3 linked regions of the Arabidopsis thaliana genome follow. The protein of the gene in region 1 interacts with the protein of each later gene in a pairwise test. Each region holds a gene or a part of one and is shown in the gene's direction. Other genes may lie near its edges.

What was found.
Region 2: the proteins of NAC096 (region 1) and PYL12 interact in binary tests that used the Arabidopsis thaliana proteins (3 or more experiments, as listed by UniProt).
Region 3: the proteins of NAC096 (region 1) and TPR1 interact in a two-hybrid assay, tested with the Arabidopsis thaliana proteins (one study listed by BioGRID).

Annotation. Positions count from the first base shown.
Region 1 is NC_003076.8:18,902,402-18,909,197, forward strand, and holds NAC096 (NAC domain containing protein 96), read left to right. Parts: upstream 1-2,856; 5' UTR 2,857-3,277; coding exon 3,278-3,434; intron 3,435-3,516; coding exon 3,517-3,800; intron 3,801-3,888; coding exon 3,889-4,128; intron 4,129-4,212; coding exon 4,213-4,410; 3' UTR 4,411-4,651; downstream 4,652-6,796. Other genes in the region: AT5G46600 (aluminum activated malate transporter family protein), read right to left, coding at 5,448-6,089, 6,179-6,322, 6,505-6,635, 6,761-6,796. UniProt on the Arabidopsis thaliana protein: Transcriptional activator involved in the positive regulation of abscisic acid (ABA) responsive genes. Acts as a positive factor of ABA-mediated responses.
Region 2 is NC_003076.8:18,604,345-18,609,849, reverse strand, and holds PYL12 (PYR1-like 12), read left to right. Parts: upstream 1-2,738; 5' UTR 2,739-2,806; coding exon 2,807-3,286; 3' UTR 3,287-3,452; downstream 3,453-5,505. Other genes in the region: SCRL27 (SCR-like 27), read left to right, coding at 939-1,005, 1,179-1,393; PYL11 (PYR1-like 11), read left to right, coding at 5,264-5,505.
Region 3 is NC_003070.9:30,259,573-30,270,309, reverse strand, and holds TPR1 (TOPLESS-related 1), read left to right. Parts: upstream 1-3,184; 5' UTR 3,185-3,410; intron 3,411-3,769; exon of another isoform or gene 3,770-3,801; 5' UTR 3,802-3,863; coding exon 3,864-3,943; intron 3,944-4,015; coding exon 4,016-4,195; intron 4,196-4,277; coding exon 4,278-4,550; intron 4,551-4,642; coding exon 4,643-4,820; intron 4,821-4,937; coding exon 4,938-5,061; intron 5,062-5,200; coding exon 5,201-5,310; intron 5,311-5,421; coding exon 5,422-5,593; intron 5,594-5,689; coding exon 5,690-5,799; intron 5,800-5,885; coding exon 5,886-5,955; intron 5,956-6,025; coding exon 6,026-6,099; intron 6,100-6,177; coding exon 6,178-6,273; intron 6,274-6,370; coding exon 6,371-6,466; intron 6,467-6,564; coding exon 6,565-6,692; intron 6,693-6,796; coding exon 6,797-7,031; intron 7,032-7,111; coding exon 7,112-7,252; intron 7,253-7,348; coding exon 7,349-7,411; intron 7,412-7,498; coding exon 7,499-7,645; intron 7,646-7,713; coding exon 7,714-7,824; and 12 more. Other genes in the region: PTAC17 (plastid transcriptionally active 17), read left to right, coding at 9,740-10,045, 10,156-10,221, 10,299-10,479, 10,567-10,737. UniProt on the Arabidopsis thaliana protein: Transcriptional corepressor. Activates TIR-NB-LRR R protein-mediated immune responses through repression of negative regulators such as CNGC2/DND1. Negative regulator of jasmonate responses.

The DNA of each region.
Region 1 (6,796 bases):
CAACGTATGAATATTAATTTATTGGCTAACTACTTACTAGACCAAAAACGCTTTCACCACGTAAGGACAATATTATTTACAAAACTAATATAGGTATCCGTGTAAGGGTGGTCATTGATAGATCCGTTTATTCGTATAGGCAAACTTTTTCGAGTATATTTTCCTCTACATATGCTTTTAGTTTTTTTTTTTTTTTGGGGTTAATTCTCTTTTCCGATCGTATTCCCGCTGACGATACCATGGGTTAAAGTGAACGTACGTAAAGTAGTGTGGGAATATTCTCACTCTACCAAAATAATAAGGTAACACTTTCATAGAACGAGAACCTATGTTACCGTCAACTCAAGTAACTATTTTGAGCTTTTTGCCACTTGGATTTCTCAATTACGAACAAAATCAAACCAACAAAAATGATTTTACAGATTAATACATAATAACGCTTCAGTATCTTTTTTCTTTGACAACATGCATTATCTGAGTTTAAATTTGGTTAGTACTACATCGATAATTTACAAGTACCTATGCTAATAGTCAAAATTCAAATTAAAAATCTAATATCCGAATAAATGGAAATCACGTATATATAACCAATTACAAATAGTTTATAAAAATTCAACCTTTCGTGAATGATTTTGCTATGTATAGACTAAAACCGTGTCAAACCAAATATATTAGTTGGCCTACTGTTCCACCAATATGGATGTCGGGACATACCATACCATCCCTTTCTACATTTGGTATGTTTTCACATTTCTTTTCATGGGAAGACTAAGAACTGGATTACATTTTATTTTTAATATAAATTAGATATTTTATGACCTCTAAGTAATAGTTGAAACCTGGATTCTATCGAGGATGATCGATCTTTCTTTTCTATTATATTTTTTGTTACAATTTTTGGTTTTACTTCTTAAAAGAAATGACTTACAAAAACAGAGCATCAAACTTTCGGGTTTGGCAACTCTGGTTTTTAGCAATTAAAACAACAAAATTACCGAGTGAAAGAGTCTCAAAACCACGAAAAGAAATGTCTCGCAGAGTAATTGTTGCGTATTACTCGGTCAACTTGTTTCAACAAATAACACAGAAGATTCGGTTCTTACGTTCTTGCCATTAGGTGTAACTATAACAGCTTGGGTTGCAATAAGACGAAGGATGGATTATTGGTTATCATGTCGAGGAGACTCGAGGCAAGTTGAGAGTCCCATGATGTGGCATCTCAATCATGATGTGCACCATCGTCACAATTAAGTCATAGCTATTGGGACAACGTTGAAACAATTTGTCTCTTGTTTTCACATATATTTTACAAAGAGGGAAAGTGTTATCTTATCTCCAACAATTCCCAAAGAGCATAAACGGGAGAGGAGGGGTAATCGATTCAAACAGGCGATTCACATGGTGAAAGCATGTTTTGGGACTGAATCCGAGAACCATACTTGATGATACCAAGGGATCGGACTTCCAGAAGTGGCTGCATGTTGTTTGTGAGACATGGATTAATGTCAAGTAGCAGAGGAAAACCTCAACATTGTGGATTTAAGCACCAGAAAACTGCCAACCCTCTTCATTAGTAGCGTTAGCTAAACACTAGTCAATGTTAGAAGCTGTCCATAAGGAATACCAGAAAAAGCATATATTACCGTCTTTAAGCTTGAAATAAAAGGAACCATAAACCATTTCTCCTTAGGTTTAGGAGTTGTTGCCACATGGAGAGCTCCCTAGGCTCTTCTTCATTAGTGGCCAAAAACATCTCCATTTCTTTTTTTCTTTTTTTAAGTTAACTATGAAATTTTAAGATTATGTGACGTATCATTCGAGAAGTCATATGGTTTATGTTGACTGCATTAGCTAATAAAACTCTACTTAAGATTCATGTTAGTGATGTGGAAATTGAGTCATCGTGTATAAAGGCATCCCTTTTCCGAATGCTATGAAAAAACCTAAATTGATCCAACTAAATGGGAAACCATGAACTGCAACTTTATATTATCGGGATATTTTAGGCGAAATAATAAACTAAACTCGAGAATATGAAGTTACTATGTAATTCCAAAATTGTTAAAGAAGAAACTTTATATCTCAAGCATATGACAACTAACTTCTATATAAGTGGCTCTTTGGTCGTTCTTAAAGACATGAACATATAAACAAATTAGAAAATGTTAAAAATATGTTTTGGTCCGATTAAAGCAGCCGCGGGTCCACTAGCTTGTTCCGACTCAAATAGTTTTCGTTATCACTTTCTTCTCTCCATTTTTTTCATACGACATAAAAGTGATATAGTTACACTAAAAAGTTGTTTTGTCCTACGCATAGTGACGTGTAACAATATTTTAAAACTCAATATCACAGTAATATATGACTGGGAAAGTTACAACTTGAGGTGTAAAAGTTGCACACATTAACATATCTATAGGCTATAGCATTGGTACATTTTAAAAAACTATAGCATTTTTTTTACAAAAGATTACATTGAATTATTAGTAAATATATAATATACATAAAAACTGATTATGTTGTAAATCACATAATAATTGTATGATTGAAGATTGAAATGATAAGCCTATTATCGAAAATAAAATTAGTCAAGGAGAAAACTTTGAAAGATATATGAATGAGTTGTTAATTGCTTGTGCATAAGTGTGAACATGTAAATAAACTTTTGAATCTAGGTAGGTCCATTTACTTTGGAATTGTTACATAGAACACTTCAGACAAGTTATGTCTTAATCACTTTATCGGTCACCCATAATTTTGTAAAAAATAAAAGCCACATTCTAACAAACTTTTATAATTCCATTTTACATTTATATACAAATCAATATTCTACCAACTTTGTGCTATAAATATTCATCACACCACAACCATTCAACACTCTACCAACCTCTTCTAATTTCTACAATCACTCTCTTAACTCTTTGCTAAGCACTTCTTGTTAGGAAAAATCATTCCTTAATCACTCTCGAAGCTTTCACACCAATATTACTTCCTTACTACATCTCTTCATTTTAAAGATTTGTTAGTTACTTTTTTTTTTTGTTATTGTACGAAATAATTTGTTTTCTTTCAGACAATGTTCTTGTCACACAAAGAATACAATCGACTTGACTTGCAATTTTTTCTAAACAACAAATCCAGCATCGAGAAAAGTTTCTATTTTTGGATTTTCCAAATATTAACAGTTATAGCTTCGTGACTTCAAGAAATATCCATTTCAAGATTATTTAACCTTTTTTTGTCTAGCAAGTCATCGTATTCTACTTTGTTGTTGCAAATGGGAAGTTCATGTTTACCTCCAGGGTTCCGGTTTCATCCTACGGATGAAGAACTCATCGAATATTACTTGAAAAGAAAAGTCGAAGGTCTCGAGATTGAGCTTGAAGTCATTCCCGTCATCGATCTTTATAGTTTCGATCCTTGGGAGTTACCAGGTAATATATTAACTTCCAAAAATCTATTTAAAGTATTAGGTAACTTTTCAAATTTTTAATATTTTTGTGTTGTTACTTTTAGACAAGTCGTTTCTCCCAAACCGGGACATGGAATGGTACTTCTTCTGCTCAAGGGACAAAAAATATCCTAATGGTTTTCGTACAAATCGAGGAACAAAGGCTGGTTATTGGAAAGCAACCGGAAAAGATCGAAAAATTACTTCTCGTTCATCTTCTATAATTGGTTATAGAAAAACTCTAGTTTTCTACAAAGGCCGTGCCCCGTTAGGCGATAGAAGCAATTGGATCATGCATGAATATCGACTATGCGATGATGATACATCACAAGGATCACAAAATTTAAAGGTAACTTTATAATTTGATCAAGTTCTAAAATGGTTTCGTTTCTTTTGATATTGAGAGACCATTAAGAAATGAATGTGTTTAACTATAGGGAGCTTTTGTGTTATGTCGTGTTGCTATGAAGAATGAGATCAAAACTAATACGAAAATCCGAAAAATTCCAAGCGAGCAAACAATCGGATCAGGAGAAAGCTCGGGTTTATCAAGCCGAGTAACGTCTCCTAGTCGCGATGAAACAATGCCGTTTCACTCATTTGCCAATCCTGTATCTACTGAAACTGATTCTTCCAACATTTGGATTTCACCTGAATTCATCCTCGATTCTTCAAAGGTAATGTGTACACAATTCTAAACATACTGATAACTAACTAAACCAATGTTTGTTAATCGTATACCGGTTTTATAATTTTTGTAGGACTATCCTCAAATCCAAGATGTCGCATCTCAGTGCTTCCAACAAGACTTTGATTTTCCGATCATCGGTAACCAAAACATGGAGTTTCCAGCGAGTACAAGCTTAGATCAGAACATGGATGAGTTTATGCAAAACGGTTATTGGACAAATTATGGATACGATCAAACCGGTTTATTCGGTTACTCAGATTTCTCCTAGACGGAAGTATTTGGTCTCTCTTTACGACAAAAACACCTTTTATCGTTTTAAGTATTGGAAGACTTTTGGCATTGGTCTAAATATATGAATGAGTTTCATAATTCTGTTTTTTTTTCTTTTACTTTTTATGGGATTATTATATTTTATATGAAAATGTTTACCGTTAGTTATATATCTTATATATATGAAGCTGTATTTTATATTCCATATGGATTCTCTTAAAAGTCTCAATAGGATTATGCACTACTGTCATCCTTCAACTATCTATCTCTCATTAGTCATTTCTATTACAATGATTAATTGGACCAGTGTGGTCACCACACTATTATACCATCTTTTTGTGACGTCACTATATATAACCTTTAGAATAAACTTTTGTGGAAGTGATAAGTTGATAACAATGACTCTGTGTAAAACAATCTTTTAACAAAAGGAATCATGGCACCAAAAATACTAAACACTTATGAAGTTATGAACAACATAATTTTTCTCTAATACAGAAAAAAATAGGATTGAAAAATTGCATCTCTATAATAAAAATAAAGGAGCATAATTGAAGTTATAGGATATCAAGTTTCCCAAAAAAAATCTCATCGTTTGACCACTTGGATGAGCTTTATAAAAAAATTATTTTATTTTGGTATTAAAATGTAATGTGATTTTCTAGAAGTATTAAGATTAATAAAATTATTTGTAGGCATATAACAAATTGGGTCCATAGCTCAGTGGTAGAGCAATTGACTGCAGATCAATAGGTCACCGGTTCGAACCCGGTTGGGCCCTGATATTTTTCTTTTTTTATTTTTTACAACTTTTTGTAGTTTTTGCCAAAATTTACCAAGTAACCAACACAAATCAAAAAGTAATCTTTTTTTTTACCAACGTAACTCTTCAAATTAACACCTCGTGTTACAAAATTCCAGAAATTAAAAACATAACAAAATCGGTCGCAACAGAGAATCGAAATCACGTAGTAGAAAACCGAGACAAAACCAAAATAAGCCGTATCGTAACGATACATTCAATCTACACAACCACTAGATTAACCGGTTCTCAATTCGCACCTCCACAGTCTTATCGTACTCCTTAAAGCAGGCGATTGTTCCCAATTCCTCAACCTCATCAATCACAGTATCAAGCCTCGCAACCATTTCCACAAGAAGTGACGCAAACGCAGCAAATGGTAACGCTTCCGAAAACTCCAAACTTTTCATAACCGCGATTTTGCTCAATTGTTTCCTCAATCTCCTCTTCTCTCCGGTCGCCGCCGATTTCTTCACCGATCTTAAGCTAGAGAGTGAAACAACGCTGTTTAACGGAAGTGGTGATACGGTGTCGTTCTCTTCTATAGTTTCTCCCAAAACGCAGCCGTTTGTGTTATTATCGTTGTGATATGAAACGGTGCCGTTTGAGTTAGTTTCGTTGTAATATGAAACGTGGCCGTTTAGGTGCTTGTTAGTGATGTTACTATGAAGGTTAGAGCCTAAGAAGAGCTTAGGTTGTGACTTGATTGTGGAGTTGAGATCTTTTAATGCCGCTTCGAGACTGTCGGAGAGAATCTCCGACGAGCAATGACGTCGGTTTTGAATGCTTTCGGAGAGTTCTGATAAAACTTTGCAGATTTCTCCGGCTAGTCTAACACAAGGATCTTTGAAGAGGACACGGATAGACCTTGGAGTCTTAAAAAATTAACATAAAAACATTATAATAAAACTATATGCTATAATTTTAATTTCTTCTAATGCAAATAAAAGGTTGAATAAATTACCTGAATCTCGGTTTGTAAGCAACCGTGAAGAGCAACAACAGTGTAACCAAACTTGCGAAGAACGGATCCAACTTTGATATATTGTTGGGATGGAAATTTGTTGCAACGCCTTGTGTGTCTTGGCTCCCACTTTGCATACATTGCCTATATAAATATGTGTCAATATGTTCAATATAGATATTGGGACGATATTCATATACAAAAATATCAAATGAATACATTTATAAATGTTCATTAGAAAAGAAACATTTTTACACAAAGATATTCAAGATATATAATTTAACTAGTCGGATTCGAAATAAAGATTTTGATTTAAGATGTCTTACGAGCGCTTCGTCGGCGGATTTAGAATCCAAAACAGTATTATACCCGTTGTAGATTAGGTCTTCATCATCAGATTCAGAATCTGATGTTTCGTTGTCTTTCAGCTTCTCCTCAAAATACTCACTCACACATGCTAACATGTATATAGAATAAAAAACCATTTATACTATGTAACTTTATATTATGCATACACATATATGTATAGTTATAATTTGCATGTTTAATACATTGATGTTTATGGTTTTAAGGAATATGTACCTTCAATACATCGAGAGAGGCCTTGGAGCTTAGTAA
Region 2 (5,505 bases), 300 kb from region 1:
ATTAATATCATCATTAATTACCTTTTCACGTTTTGGTTTTGTTTGATTTGATGTGTGAGTGATATTTTGTTGTTCTATAGTAAAAAGAATGTAATTTGGTTACACACGATCGAGGAACTTATATATTACTATTAGTTTATTACAAAATAAAAAATAAATCAATGAGTAGAAGTTTACTGTTGAATATTGGATTTAGATCGAAAACCAAATTTAGAAGGGAAAGAGATCTGCTCGGACTCCCAAGTCCTCTAATTTTTTATATATATCTCTTGATAATTCATGCATGTGCTCATATATATGTATATAACACATTACACAACTTAACAAGGGATATAATATTTTTGGATATTCTTGTCACTTAACCTCTAAAATCATTCTCATTGATCATAAAAATATAGGGTATTTAAATATAAAGATGAATTAATGTTATAATTAAAAAGAATTTAAAGAATTAAGACCCATCCCTCCATGTATATTCTTTTAACATTTTTAATATTAAAATATTAAATACTTTAGTTTCAAGACACTCAAAAAAGTGGTTCACCAATGAGGATGCTCTAAAGCCTCTGAATGTTTATCAAACTTCCAAATGTAACATTGCTGTCTTTTCCTCGTTTCTTGGCTATCATATTGGTAATTTTTGAAGTTTTGTTAAATTTAAGTTAGGTGTAAAATAAATTTATGAAAATGTTGCATCCATTATGTCCTGTAATCAGAACGCAGACAAGCTCCTCCATCCAATTATTTTTCCTTTTAAGATTAAACAGCTAATTTTGTAGATCTGGTTGACTTGATCTTCTTACATGTCCCTTTTCTTTTCCCCTAATTTAGTTTAAATAACTATTTTTGGTGTGGGCAGTTTCCGTTAAAGAGAAGTAACACACTTGTTACAAGAGAGAGGTAACAAAGACAGTAGCTTTTACCATTTTTGTTAAATCATGAAGTCTACTACCTTGTTCATGGTTTCTTGTGTTCTCATATTTTGTGTTCTTAGTCACGTGAGAGGTACGTAATGTACACTATTGTTCTTTCGATTTAGATTAGTATCCTCGGTTTAAAAGACAAAAAAAAACTTACTGCATTATCAATTTTTATATATTAAATAATCATTTTATTTACAATTTTGACATTATTTTTGTTGTGTGTATGTATGATTGATAAAAATAAAAAACGAATAGAGGTGAAATCGGTGGAGACTAAGGCCAAGAGAGTGAAGAAGGTGTGCGAAAAGGCACAAGTATTCGAACAAAATTGTGGGTGGGACGGAAACAAAACTTGCATAAGAGGCTTTAATAAAATCAAAGAATACCCTTTTCATTGCGAGTGTGGCATTTATGATGCACCCAATAGCAGACGTATTTGCAAATGTAAATTTCCATATTCTCCTTGCTAAATTTTCATGTAGTTTTTTTTTAAATGTTAAAAAAAATTTCATGTAGTTCCAGAACCATAGTTTATCTATCTAGAAATTAATAAATTAAATGTTATTTAAGGTTTAACTAACCAGTAAGATGAACCCTTTTACTTCCTTCCATGTTATTGTGAAACATGTCTGAAGGAGTTAATCTCCAACGCCATGAATTAATCATTCCCGGTTACTCCATTTCTAAAACTCTTTATAAATATGTATTGATATAAGCCAAATTATATGTCGTACGATCTTGTAGTCTTTATCATACATTTCAGAAAAAATATAACTATAGATTAAAACCTAGCTAGCCGGAATAGTTTTTAATCTATAACATTCGATTTAATTTAACTATTCAAACTTCCTCTTCTTTCTTTACATTATCTCTCATAAGAACTCAATAGTAGATTGCAATTAAAAGTCTTGCTGAAACCAACTTAATTTCTTATATTGACTAAACTCGTAAATGTCTCCTTGATTAATTTTTCGATAATTTTTTTTTTCTTTTGACTAAAGAAACAAAATCGTCAGAGATTTTAGAATGTGAGATTGTGATTGTGATTTTGGCTCTTTTTGCTAGTCTATATCCGTGAATTTAAATTTGGAGATGGAAAAAGAAAAGTTATATTAACAGAAATCACATTTTGGTTTAATTTTTATATCGGTTTTGGTTCGATTATCGGCTACCCTGAAGGTTAAAAACTAATGTAAAAGAGTGATGCTAGTTTGGGCTTAAAATGGATCTATAAATTTTAGGCTCATCTGGCCTCTTTCTGAGCTTGCCATTTTGGATTAAGTCTAAGTTCTAATCTCTAACTTCTCATCTCTGTTCTTATTTGTTTCCTTTCCTTTTTGTCTACTTTCTTTTCTTTTAACATCTGTCAACTATTTGGTTCTTATAATACACTATAAATGTGTGATTAATAAGTGTGATTCGTGTAAACCAACGTGGAACCATTATTTGCCACTATTTTTAACACAGTCCATGTCATATAACCCGCCAACCACAACCGCAAATTGTTCCTTACAGTATTTTGTATACAATTTGCTATGCTACACTGTTTGATACTTACTCAGGCCGTTAAAGTATTTTGGTATTTATGTGCATGTATAAAATATCACAATGGACTTAAACTAAATATTTTATTCCAAAGTTAAATGTCATATAGAATATATAAATAAATTTTCGTTGTTACTTGTTATGCGTTCAGAATTTCATAATTTTAGTATTTCTTTCAGTCGGCCTTGTTCTAAAGATATTTCTCATCTTTTTGTCGACCTATAGATTTTTCTCATATATAAATACTAAAAAAAACTTGCCACTACGTAAAATATTTGAAGACAACAACCACAACTGTCGGTAGGAAAACAAAATTGTGAAACACCAAACAAACACGTATGAAAACATCTCAAGAACAGCATGTATGCGGTTCGACAGTAGTACAAACTATCAATGCTCCGTTACCTCTAGTATGGTCGATCCTACGTCGATTTGATAACCCAAAAACATTTAAACATTTCGTAAAAACTTGTAAACTACGCTCCGGCGATGGAGGAGAAGGCTCTGTCCGTGAAGTCACGGTGGTTTCCGATCTTCCGGCGAGTTTTAGCCTAGAAAGATTAGATGAACTTGACGATGAGTCTCATGTGATGGTGATCAGCATTATTGGTGGTGATCATCGTTTGGTTAATTACCAGTCGAAAACTACGGTGTTTGTGGCGGCGGAGGAGGAGAAGACAGTGGTTGTGGAGAGTTATGTGGTGGATGTGCCGGAAGGAAATACTGAGGAAGAAACTACGTTGTTTGCTGATACTATCGTTGGGTGTAATCTTAGGTCATTGGCTAAGTTATCGGAGAAGATGATGGAGCTCACTTAAAGTTGTAAAAGTCGTGGGATTGTAATAATAGTATTAGTTTTTAGAATTTAAAAGTAAAACTCTTACATTTTTACGAGGTTTTGGATATATAGCAACTAGCAAAATATGCTTATTCAACTGGGAATAATATAGGTATAATTATGTATTTATATGTCTTGTGAAATTAAAAATAATTGTTTAAGTTTCTTTCTTAAATGTCATTATTCTGTTTGCCCAAAAGTATATACAATTTTAGTTTGAGTCCATTTCTAAACTCTCCTTTGTAAATGTATTGATATAAGCCAAATTTTGAAATCATTCAAGTTAAAAAGTTAAAATCATTTTTTTTTCTTTTGATTAAAACTCTTGTTGTTGTAACAGGAATTGACTTGTGAGTACTAACGTGTCCAGCGAAATAGCTTTCTAAAGCAGACTCTGATCGTTCAGTGTCTTATACCTTCTCAGTTGAAACTTGATGCCAAAGAGCGTCTTTTAGCATGTGCAAGTGAAGAAATTAAACATAGTTCGCTTATAAAATAAAAAGTATATTTTATGATTCATTTTTTTCTTGCACAAAAAAAAAATACAAAAAGTTGAAATACAATGGTAATTAATGTAATTAACCCTTCGTCTCCAACAGCTTCTTTTTAAAGAGGAAAAATAGTTTAAATTCTGTTATATTTGGCTGTAGCTCAATTGTTCAACTTCTACTTATTTTTACACTTTTTCTCACAAGAAACTAATTACATACTAGTAGAATGAAGAGCCATTTCAAACTATTTTTACTTGAAGGTAATATTTAAAAAACATTTTGCTAATATGTTGGTAAACAATTAAAAAAAAAAATAACCTCACTTATACATATTTACTTAAGATTTTCTTAAACAAAATTAGGATTGTTCGATTATCCTACTTACATATGCTAAAATACGGCCTTGAATCTTGATAGATTGCATGCAAAAGTCTTACCGAAATTATTTTCATCTCTAATCATATTGATCGACTGAACTCGTAAACGTTTTATTCTGTTTAACTTTATTTTATTGTGTGTCTATTTTTATTTTTGATCAGATTAAAATATAAGAGTTTGAAAATGTGAGATTGCGATTACGATCGAAGGTTCAATTATTTGGTCCTTTTCAAATTGTTAACAAAAGAAAAAGGGACCCTATAAAAGTTAAACAGAAATACAATTTGGTTAAGCTTATCGGTTTCCGGTTCAATTATCTTTACCTTCTGAAGGAGTAAGTGATGCTATTTTGGGCTTCAAATGGATCTTTAATCTGTAGGCTCATTGGGCCTGTTCTCAACTTGGCGTTTAAAGATATGTCCTTCCCTCTCTCATCTGTTCTTGTTTGTTTTTTTTTTGTTTGTTTTTTTTCATTTAGTCAAGTTTTTATCAACAAAAACAATGTCTATAAATGTGTGGTAAATAAGTGTGGTTCGTATGAACGAAATCGAAAACGTGGATCTATTACATGCCACTAGTTTTTCCACAATCCATGTCATAACCCTCCAAATTTAACCGAAATACATTCTTCATTACAATGACGTTACAAAACAAATGTGCATTCTAAAGTTTACAATTTATTTAAATATATTTTACGGACAAATATGTAGCCATATGCCTATATATTGTCACCATATGCTACACATCCTACACTGATTAATCAGTCTTTCTTTTAAAGCATTTTTTTGGTTTTATGTGCATATTACAATGTATTCTTTTAAAATATATATACACTTTAAACTTCTTTTTATCATCTTATGTTATACAAATCAACAAAGTTTTTCTTACTTGATATTACATTCATATTTTGCAGAAAACACCAAAAAATGACAACTCATATTTTTTTTTAGTCGGCATTGTTCTTAGATATTTCTCGTATAAATACTCGAACACTAATGCATGGAAGCTTCAAAAAGGTTTGAAGATACTGTCACACAAAACAACGGTCGATAAAAGGACAATTTCGTCAAAAAAACAGCAATACACAAATGGAAACTTCTCAAAAATATCATACGTGCGGTTCCACACTAGTACAAACTATAGATGCTCCACTATCTCTAGTTTGGTCAATTCTACGTCGGTTTGATAACCCTCAAGCCTACAAACAATTCGTGAAAACGTGCAATCTAAGCTCCGGCGATGGAGGAGAAGGCTCCGTCCGTGAAGTGACGGTGGTTTCCGGTCTTCCAGCGGAGTTCAGCCGAGAGAGATTAGATGAACTTGACGATGA
Region 3 (10,737 bases), on another chromosome or scaffold:
CTAATTTTTATGAAAAAAATAGTTTGGTCTATGACAAAATATTATCCGTACGTTTTGAAATAAAAAGGTGTCATTACAAATCTTTTGGTTAATTCGCTCAAAAGTATAATGAAGTTTGATAGTAGACAAATATCAATCCAAGCGGCGTTGGGATAACAAGAGAACCGAAATAAATAAACAAATTTGATGGTGTCGCTGTCGTCGTCATATAACAAAAATCAAATTTTCCCAACAAAAAATAGTTAGCGGCAATGTCTTGGATACGTGGAAATTAGTCTATCTATATATACATACGTGCTTATTTGGGCTAAATAAATAAATAGTGCAAATAATTATGGCTTACAAAAATTCACATTATAATTATAATGGCAAAAGACAACCGACAACTTCTCCCCAGAAAGCAATCAGTATATCGCCTTTAATTACCGCGATATGAGAGAAGAGAAGAAGCTGATAAATTGAAGAATAGACTGTACTAGTATCAAAATAGCAAAGCAATTAAGCTTTTTAAGAGAAGAAGAGAGGACATACATAAGTGGAAAGTAACCAATAGCCATTAGCCAACACCCTTCTCATCTACGTTTTTATTTATTTATTAATCAACTTAAAGTTTGGTTTTAAAATTTAAAAAACTAACCATGATTAAACAAAACAAGTAGTACAAACAAAAATAGCCAATAATAATTGTAGTAGTTTCACATAGTGCGCTTTATTAATACTTAGTGGACTTTAGTAACTTATGAACATACTCACTAGTATAATTTGACACTATTTTCCTTTCATTGGTTACAGATTTTCTAACCAATTGCATTGACCAACTGACCTAAAATAATGTTTTGTAGATTCCAATATTTAAAATAAATACAATTATTAGAAAAATCAATGCCTTCTTTGGAAAAAAAAAATCGGTATGTGGCTCTATTAATTGAAAACATATTTTATATTTGACTTTGTTTTTTTTATTGAAAGTGATTTGATAGCATCGTTGAATGATTTAGTAATATCTCCCGTAAGAATTTAATTATCCCGTTAGACTTTTTAACAGACCAGCCAGATGGGACCAACGTGCACTGTTTTTTGGCCGGAGAATGTATAAAAAATATTGAAGATGCAGTGAACACTGACCACCATTCACTTCTCCACAACTTTTAATGACCGGTTTACAAAATAAAACATAGTACTATATAATTTTCAACGTGTTAGTCTGATTTTTATATTTCTAAAGAGAAGTACTCATCTATTTTTGAGCTATTAATCTATTACAATTTGTGTTCTGATCTGGAGAGTGGAGAGTTATTTCAAAGTAAAGTATGTAGATTGTAGAGGATCTATCGAGAATCTACTCATTTAAAATAGTTTGACGTTGTAGCAAACAATTTTTTTGTCATTGATGATTTGTATTGTTTGTAAATATTATTTAGAAACCAAATCGAATTTTTAGTTGAAAATTATAATCTGTTTAATAAGTGATAATTACATCATGCACATGTACCTAGTGACTCATAATGAAACGTATCATAATGGATTGACGAGTAGTTGTCTGATATTGACATCTTAATTTATAACTTCCCTTTTCATTGTTAATGTTCCTTACTGTCTTCTGATTGATAATAAAGACGTTGACATGTCAAACCACATAATTATTTGAAAAATATATATTATTTCTTCAGATTTTCATCATTTGTTATAAGTCTCGATAAGACAGTTTTTGTTTTTTTAACAATTTTTTACAAAAAACTTACGACCATAATTTAGTTCAGGCGAAAATCAGTGAATCATTAATCATATTTATTAGTTTGGATTTTTATGTGTTTTTCTTTTTATGTATTTGAGGATTTTTCAGTTTGTGAAAACAAATCTAATATGCTTATTTGATTTCTTCTTTATTTGCTGTATTCTTAATATATCTTGCAGAGCTAAGGTAATACTCAAATTTTTTTTTTCCACACGTAAAAACTCATATTTATCAGTTTGGAATTACTGTATTCTTTTTAGTAGTCCTCTCACTCGCCATGGCAAGAAGAAGGTTTTTTTTTCCTTTTTCTTGCATTCCATGTTAATCAGTATTTGAATAAAAAAGCAAGCTAAATCGGCAAATGAACTTATATCCAAATAATCAAGATATCAATCTGTGTAAGCATTACTAGAAAAGTAGAGATACTCGTGTTACCGTGTAAATTAAAAGAATAAAAATGTGCTTTTCAAAAGTTATATACTTTTCTTGTGCACCCATAACTTTAGCAAAAGCAACCATCATCATTCTTGAGCAATTAAAACAAATAATATTGATCTTCATTTGGTGCCAAAATACTTTACGGTAATGACGTCAAACTCGATGTTTCTTGTCAAAGTCTGAAAGACCAATATAAAATAACACTAGACACATTATAAAATTAACATATTGGTTCATTGTAATTAAACCGTCGAATATATATAACGAAAATACCAATTACGCTGTGAATAAACAAACAAAATCATTTTATTAGTCATCGAGTAAATAAATTCGATTATAATCCTCAATAGTCAATATATATATAGCTCACATCACATTATGCGATTAACAAAAACAATCCAAAACAGTTAAATGATTAGAAATTAAACGAGTCTCACTAAATTATTAACGACTCCAAATCACGAGAAGGCTTAAGAGTTATCATGTCGGGAGAATTTAACTGATAACCTCTTCCATTATCTCTCAATCACGTGATTTTTGTTCAACGAGTACCGCATCTCAAGAATAAAAATGGCAATTTAGGTAAATATTTGTCATTTTCAAGGGCAATGGAACTTAAAGATGCATTTCAGAAGGAAAAGCTTTGTCGTGTTATGAGGGAAATGTGGGGACGCAGCTACTTCGCTTTCAAACCGTTGGATGAATATCCTTTAAGGTTCATCGTACAAGATCGACGGCACTCACCGAGGGTGTACTCATGTTGTGACACAGAGGATCATGTCTACTTGGAGTACAGCTAGCAGCTAGAGATTCTGAGCCGATAACGTCGAGAATTGTAGCCGGCTAAGTCGTATATGCTGGTTTAAACTTTAATCTGTACTTATATATAAGTCAACGTGCTTATCAAAATCAGCTCCCTTATCGTGTGATAGGTGCATTGTCTTATTAGACTCCGTTATCCGTCACCTTCGCATATTAAAATCACTTTTTATTTTTTGGTTTTAAATTAAAGTCTCCATTTCTGCAAGATTTTAATGTTCGTATAAATAAGCCTGAAGAGAGAGAGAGAGAGAGAGAGAAAACTTGTTTTTTTTTTTTCCATTAGTTTTTTTCTTACTTTCTGGTCGAGAGAGGAGAGTCCAAAAAACCCAAATCCTTGGCCTCTTTCAATATCAGGAGAGAGAAACTGAAGCTCTGGCCTTTGTTTCTGAAATCGATCGTCTTCTTCTTCTTCATGGCAAGTAACGTATCTAGGTCTTTCATTTTTGGTTTAATATCTAAATCGTAGCTTTTCTGGGTTTTTGATTTTTGTTTTTGTCTCATGGAAGTGAAAAAGATGGCCATTTTAAGCTTTATATTTAATTCGGTGGACAATAATAATACTAGGAAGACCTAATTTTTGTGTAGCCCAATTAAACACTAATTAAATCCGCCGGAATAGAGACTTTTGGAGAATTTTCCGGAGGATAGTTGTAAAGATCTAGTTATATACTGTGTAATTAAGAGGCTGTGTCTATTTTCATTTTTTAAAAATAATAATTAAATGGAGGAATATCTGAAACCCAGTAAATTGGGATGATTTGATGGTTTTGTAAGGTTATCATCGTCGCCATTATATTGATATGCAGATCTGGTGGGTTTTTCTGCATCTGACTTGATAGCTTTATCGGACTGAGTGGCAAAATCAATCATGTCTTCTCTGAGCAGAGAGCTCGTCTTCTTGATCTTACAGTTTTTAGATGAAGAGAAGTTTAAAGAGACTGTTCATAAGTATGTCCGATCTCTCTTTTCCTTTTTGTCTTTTATTAGGCATTATTATTAACTTGATTGATTATTAATTAGGCTTGAACAAGAATCTGGGTTTTTCTTCAATATGAAGTATTTTGAGGATGAGGTGCACAATGGTAACTGGGATGAGGTTGAGAAGTATCTCTCTGGTTTTACTAAAGTTGATGATAATCGATACTCCATGAAGATTTTCTTCGAGATTAGGAAGCAGAAGTATCTCGAGGCCTTGGATAGGTAACTTGTGTCTCTCAACAACAACAAGAATCAAATGTTTTCATATTGCCAATCAATCACACCTGCTGCTGCTTCTATCTAGGCATGATCGTCCCAAGGCTGTCGATATTTTAGTCAAAGATTTGAAAGTGTTTTCCACTTTTAATGAGGAGCTTTTCAAGGAAATCACTCAGCTCTTGACCTTAGAAAACTTCAGGGAGAACGAGCAGTTATCCAAGTATGGGGACACAAAGTCCGCCAGAGCTATCATGTTGGTGGAACTCAAGAAGTTGATTGAAGCTAATCCTTTATTCCGTGATAAATTGCAGTTTCCTACCCTTAGAACTTCACGCCTCAGGACTCTGATTAATCAGAGGTATTCTTTGTCCTTTCTTGTTCACTTCAACAAATTTTCTTCTTGTCAGCTACTTTAACTCCTTGTTTCTATGTGGCTACATAAACCTGCAGCTTAAATTGGCAACACCAGCTTTGTAAGAACCCAAGGCCTAATCCTGATATTAAGACTCTCTTTGTCGATCATTCCTGCCGCCTACCAAATGATGCACGAGCACCATCCCCTGTCAACAATCCGCTTCTTGGATCATTACCAAAAGCCGAGGGATTTCCTCCTCTAGGCGCACACGGGGTAGGTCAATTTCCACCTGATTTTTCGTATTTTCTATAAGTGCCATTTCTACTGCTTTTGGTTCTAGCTCTATAGTTACCTTTACATGCCGTGCTTGACTTACCTTTATGTCTTTAGCCTTTTCAACCAACACCTTCTCCGGTTCCGACACCTCTTGCTGGTTGGATGTCTAGTCCTTCCTCTGTCCCACATCCAGCTGTGTCTGGAGGACCCATTGCTCTTGGTGCTCCATCCATCCAAGGTTATTTGCTTATCAAATGTGGTGTTTCTTTATAAAAGCTGTGTGGAACTATAGTCTTAAATTTTATCCTCGCCTTTTTTTCAGAACCTTTAAGTTTCACCTGTGATCTATGTAACATGTTCTCCTTTTTGGTTCTTAGCAGCCTTGAAACACCCGAGAACTCCTCCTTCTAATTCCGCTGTAGACTATCCATCAGGTGACTCAGACCATGTCTCAAAGCGAACCAGACCTATGGGAATCTCTGACGAGGTGAGAAAAATCTTAATTAATATTATATATTTTCTTATCAATACCAATTTTACATAATTGGTAGTACTAGTTTAGACTTTAAACGTATTTCTTCTTTCTCCCCATATGTAGGTGAGTCTAGGTGTGAACATGTTACCAATGACATTCCCGGGGCAGGCTCATGGTCATAATCAAACCTTCAAAGCACCTGATGACTTGCCCAAGACAGTTGCACGAACTTTGAGCCAAGGCTCATCTCCCATGAGCATGGATTTCCATCCTATTAAACAGACTCTGCTACTAGGTCTGTTTCTTGGTCTGTATGCATATTTCATGTAACATACATCATCAGAAATTTTGTAAAACCAGAAGTTTCTTGCTTCAATTTTCTTTGTTCCAGTTGGTACGAATGTAGGGGATATTGGGCTCTGGGAAGTCGGTTCTCGAGAACGTCTAGTCCAGAAGACTTTCAAAGTTTGGGACTTGAGTAAATGTTCGATGCCCTTGCAGGTGTCTTCTTTTGTGAAAATCAACCAGAATATTAATATCTAATATCTATTTGAAACTTCAGTGACCAACAATTCTGGTCTTTATAGGCTGCTTTGGTGAAAGAACCTGTCGTTTCTGTCAACCGTGTGATTTGGAGCCCGGACGGTTCCCTATTCGGTAAGACTTGAGATTACAAATGCTCTTTCAACCGATTTGAGTATTCATATGCGCACGTTTTCAACTGCAGGAGTTGCTTATTCGAGACATATTGTACAGCTATACTCTTATCACGGTGGTGAAGACATGAGGCAACACCTTGAGGTGTGATATAGTTTACAACAACATTTTAGGAGTATTTCTTTCATTTCCTGTAATGAAAATCATTTTTTATTATTTCAGATTGATGCTCATGTTGGCGGTGTCAATGACATTGCATTTTCCACTCCGAACAAGCAACTATGTGTTACTACTTGTGGTGATGACAAAACCATCAAGGTTCAGTATTTTTTTTCTTCTTTCATTTCCTTAACTCTTGTTTTTTTTTTTTTTTGTTGGAACTCTAAAAACAGACTAATCAATTCTGTGAATTAAGGTCTGGGATGCTGCAACGGGTGTAAAACGGTATACTTTTGAAGGCCATGAAGCTCCTGTTTACTCTATCTGCCCTCACTACAAGGAAAACATTCAGGTAAAGTAGCAATATTTATACGGTTTCATTTTTGCTAAGTACAAGTTGAAATTCGTTTCTATTTGGTTTTGACTTGTTTATTTCTTCTTCTGCTTAAGTTTATCTTTTCAACTGCTCTTGACGGAAAAATAAAAGCATGGTTATATGATAATATGGGTTCTCGGGTTGACTACGAAGCTCCTGGTCGCTGGTGTACAACGATGGCCTACAGTGCTGATGGAACTAGGTTATAACATGATTCTCATCATCTTTATGTTGTGGTTCTGTTCTGTATCGTCATGAAGTGATAATAAATTTAAAATCTATTTTTTATTATATTCACATGGATAGGCTATTTTCTTGTGGGACGAGTAAAGATGGGGAATCGTTCATAGTTGAGTGGAATGAAAGCGAAGGAGCTGTGAAGAGAACTTATCAAGGATTCCACAAGCGTTCCCTTGGTGTTGTCCAGTTTGATACTACTAAAAACCGTTATCTCGCTGCGGGTGACGACTTCTCCATTAAGTTCTGGGATATGGACACCATACAGCTTTTGACTGCCATTGATGCTGATGGAGGTCTCCAGGTATGCAAACAAATACCTCGATTCTCCCTGGGAACCGAATGTTTTCATTTGCAGCCATCATGGCTCTCTATGTTTTGTAGGCAAGTCCACGGATCAGATTTAACAAGGAAGGCTCTCTCTTGGCTGTTTCCGCAAATGACAATATGATTAAGGTTATGGCAAACTCAGATGGTCTAAGGCTATTGCACACAGTCGAGAACTTATCTTCTGAATCCTCCAAGGTACTGAATTTTGTGCTCACTGGATCTTCAACAAGCAAATTACTAACCCCCAATTTGAAATTTCTTCAACACTTTATTTTTCATGTACATTTGCAGCCTGCAATCAACAGCATTCCGATGGTAGAGAGACCTGCCTCTGTCGTTTCCATCCCTGGAATGGTACGAAAATCGATACTTTTTCCGTCAGTTTCTCTATCTCTTGGTCTGGGTCCAATCATCGTTGTTGATCACTTACCTTTCCAACAGAATGGAGATTCGCGGAATATGGTGGATGTGAAGCCAGTGATTACCGAAGAATCAAATGATAAGTCTAAGGTATGGAAGCTTACTGAAGTCGGCGAACCCTCTCAGTGCCGTTCATTGAGACTCCCTGAGAATATGAGAGTCACCAAGGTACTAACACATAGACTGACATAACTGTACTTATATGGCTTGATTCTAATGACTCAAAACTTGAGCAGATATCGAGATTGATTTTCACAAATTCGGGAAATGCAATTTTGGCATTGGCATCAAATGCTATTCATCTGCTATGGAAGTGGCAGCGAAATGACCGTAATGCAACTGGGAAGGTACTTATGGTCTAAAATCTTCCTTTAAGATCGCCAAAAGAGTTGAAATCATGATGAAATTCAATTTGAGATTTTGTGTAGGCAACGGCTTCTTTACCTCCTCAGCAGTGGCAACCAGCGAGCGGGATCTTAATGACAAACGATGTGGCTGAAACTAATCCAGAAGAAGCCGTACCCTGTTTTGCTTTATCGAAAAATGATTCCTACGTGATGTCAGCATCGGGAGGAAAGATCTCTTTGTTTAATATGATGACGTTTAAGGTAAAATCCCAGCTACAGACAGCACTATGTCTAATGTATGCAAACAATGCTTCATCTGTTACATTTAATTGTGTTGTTGGCTAAGCGCAGACAATGGCTACTTTCATGCCGCCTCCTCCTGCCGCAACGTTTCTTGCTTTTCACCCTCAAGATAACAATATCATTGCGATCGGGATGGATGACAGTACAATACAGATTTACAATGTTCGTGTTGATGAGGTTAAGAGCAAGCTTAAAGGACATTCTAAGAGAATAACCGGCCTCGCTTTCTCCAATGTATTAAACGTTCTGGTTTCGTCTGGAGCAGACGCTCAGGTGCTGATTCATCTCATGTTTTGTAATAAAGAATCCAAATCCTTAGAAGTCTTAGTGTGAATCTTTTGGTTTTTGTATGCAGCTTTGCGTATGGAACACGGATGGATGGGAGAAGCAGAAAAGCAAGGTTCTGCAAATTCCACAGGGAAGATCCACGTCTTCTTTGTCAGACACGCGTGTTCAGTTTCATCAAGATCAAGTACACTTCCTTGTGGTCCATGAAACTCAGCTCGCTATATACGAAACAACCAAGCTTGAATGCATGAAACAGGTTTTAGTCTTTATATATGTTCATTCTCTCTCCTTGCATCTGAGTAACCCTTATAGAAGAAAGAAATGTCTTTATTTTGATTCCAGTGGCCTGTGCGTGAATCAGCAGCTCCAATAACACATGCCACATTCTCATGTGATAGCCAATTGATATACACAAGTTTCATGGACGCTACAATATGCGTCTTCAGCTCTGCAAACCTTCGATTGCGTTGCAGAGTCAATCCCTCTGCATATTTGCCAGCTTCTCTCAGGTGAGTTAATGAAATGAATATAAACTAGTGCAATGTTGGATCATGAATCTTGAGTCTTCATGTTGATGTTTTGTGCAGCAACTCGAATGTCCATCCACTGGTGATAGCGGCTCATCCGCAAGAATCCAACATGTTTGCAGTGGGTCTGTCAGACGGAGGGGTCCATATATTCGAGCCGCTTGAGTCAGAAGGTAAATGGGGAGTAGCTCCACCGCCTGAAAATGGCTCAGCCAGCGCTGTCACGGCTACACCTTCCGTTGGAGCTTCTGCCTCTGACCAGCCTCAGAGATGATCTGCTTCAGTTTCTTACTCTGTTTTTTTTGTGGGGGTTTTAGATCTTTTCCGATTTATTATTGTTTTGTTTGTGTGGGGGGAAGAAAGCATTCTAACAAGGTAAATGAATTAATAGCTTACAAGTTCTTCTTAATTGGTTAATTCGATGTTGCTTGCCTCTGATATTTTGGTCTTGAGAAATATCAGTTTTGCAAAAGGACGAATTTGCAATTTTGCACTCCGAATCTAAGCACGAACTAAGGATTGAATGCCACGTGCAGCTTCGAGATAGGTTTGGATATTCGTTTTGAGATACGAAGGAAGAATTACTAAGGCCTATGCGGCCCACGGCCCACAGACTTATATATCTACAATGATAAATATCTTCAAAAATAGTAATTTTGAGAAAATATTGAGAAGAGACAGAGAAAAAAAATCGAGTGAAAATTATCTGGTGTGTGTATCTAGAAGAAGCTACAGAGTGGGACGAGGTTTAAACTCGCCAATCGCCATTGACCTCTCGCTTGCTTTCTTTAACTAAAATGGCGACGCTATCAACACTAGAGATTGCTACGACCTTCCTCTCTTTCACCGCTCCTCGTTCCTCTGCCGCCTTCAACTATCGCTTTTCTTCTGCCGCCGTCTCTGTTCTCTCCAGGCCCAGAGCTACCACCGTTTCCGTCAGAACGACGCCGTCTTTCTTCTATTCCCCGGTGGTCCGCCGTCAAAGATTCTCATCTGTCTCCGCCTCAGCTACGCAGACTGAAGATTCTGATGTCACCACTAAGATTCCGCCAGATAACCGGATTCCGGCTACTATTATCACCGGTTTTTTGGGCTCTGGCAAGGTCAGTCAGTGTTTCTCATCATTTCATATCTATTCTAGGGTTTAAAATTAGCCCTGCTAAGTAAAAGAAATGTTGGACTAATTATACTGCAATGTTTTGTTTTTCCACAGACAACATTGCTGAATCATATACTGACCAGAGATCATGGGAAGCGAATAGCCGTGATTGAGAATGAGGTTAGCTTATTATCCTCGCCTGAATTCAGTTATAATGGTGTTGCTTTCTAATTCATGTTTCATGTGAATTCTCTCAGTTTGGTGAAGTTGACATTGATGGGTCACTTGTTGCTTCTAAATCTATTGGAGCTGAGGATATTGTGATGCTCAACAATGGCTGCCTTTGTTGCACTGTTAGGGGTGATCTTGTCAGGATGATTGGAGAATTAGTCAATACCAAGAAAGGAAAGTTCGATCATATAGTCATAGAGACTACAGGTTGGGAAAGGGGGCATTTTCATTTAGTATGCTTAGAGAATCTGGGGAATGAGTAATGACTATCTTATGTTTATTTTCACTTTTTAGGATTGGCAAACCCGGCACCGATTATCCAAACCTTTTATGCCGAGGAAGAAATTTTCAATGATGTCAAACTGGACGGTGTTGTTACTCTAGTTGATGCTAAGCATGCTCGTTTGCATCTAGACGAGGTCAAACCCGAAGGTGTTGTCAATGAGGCTGTTGAACAAATAGCTT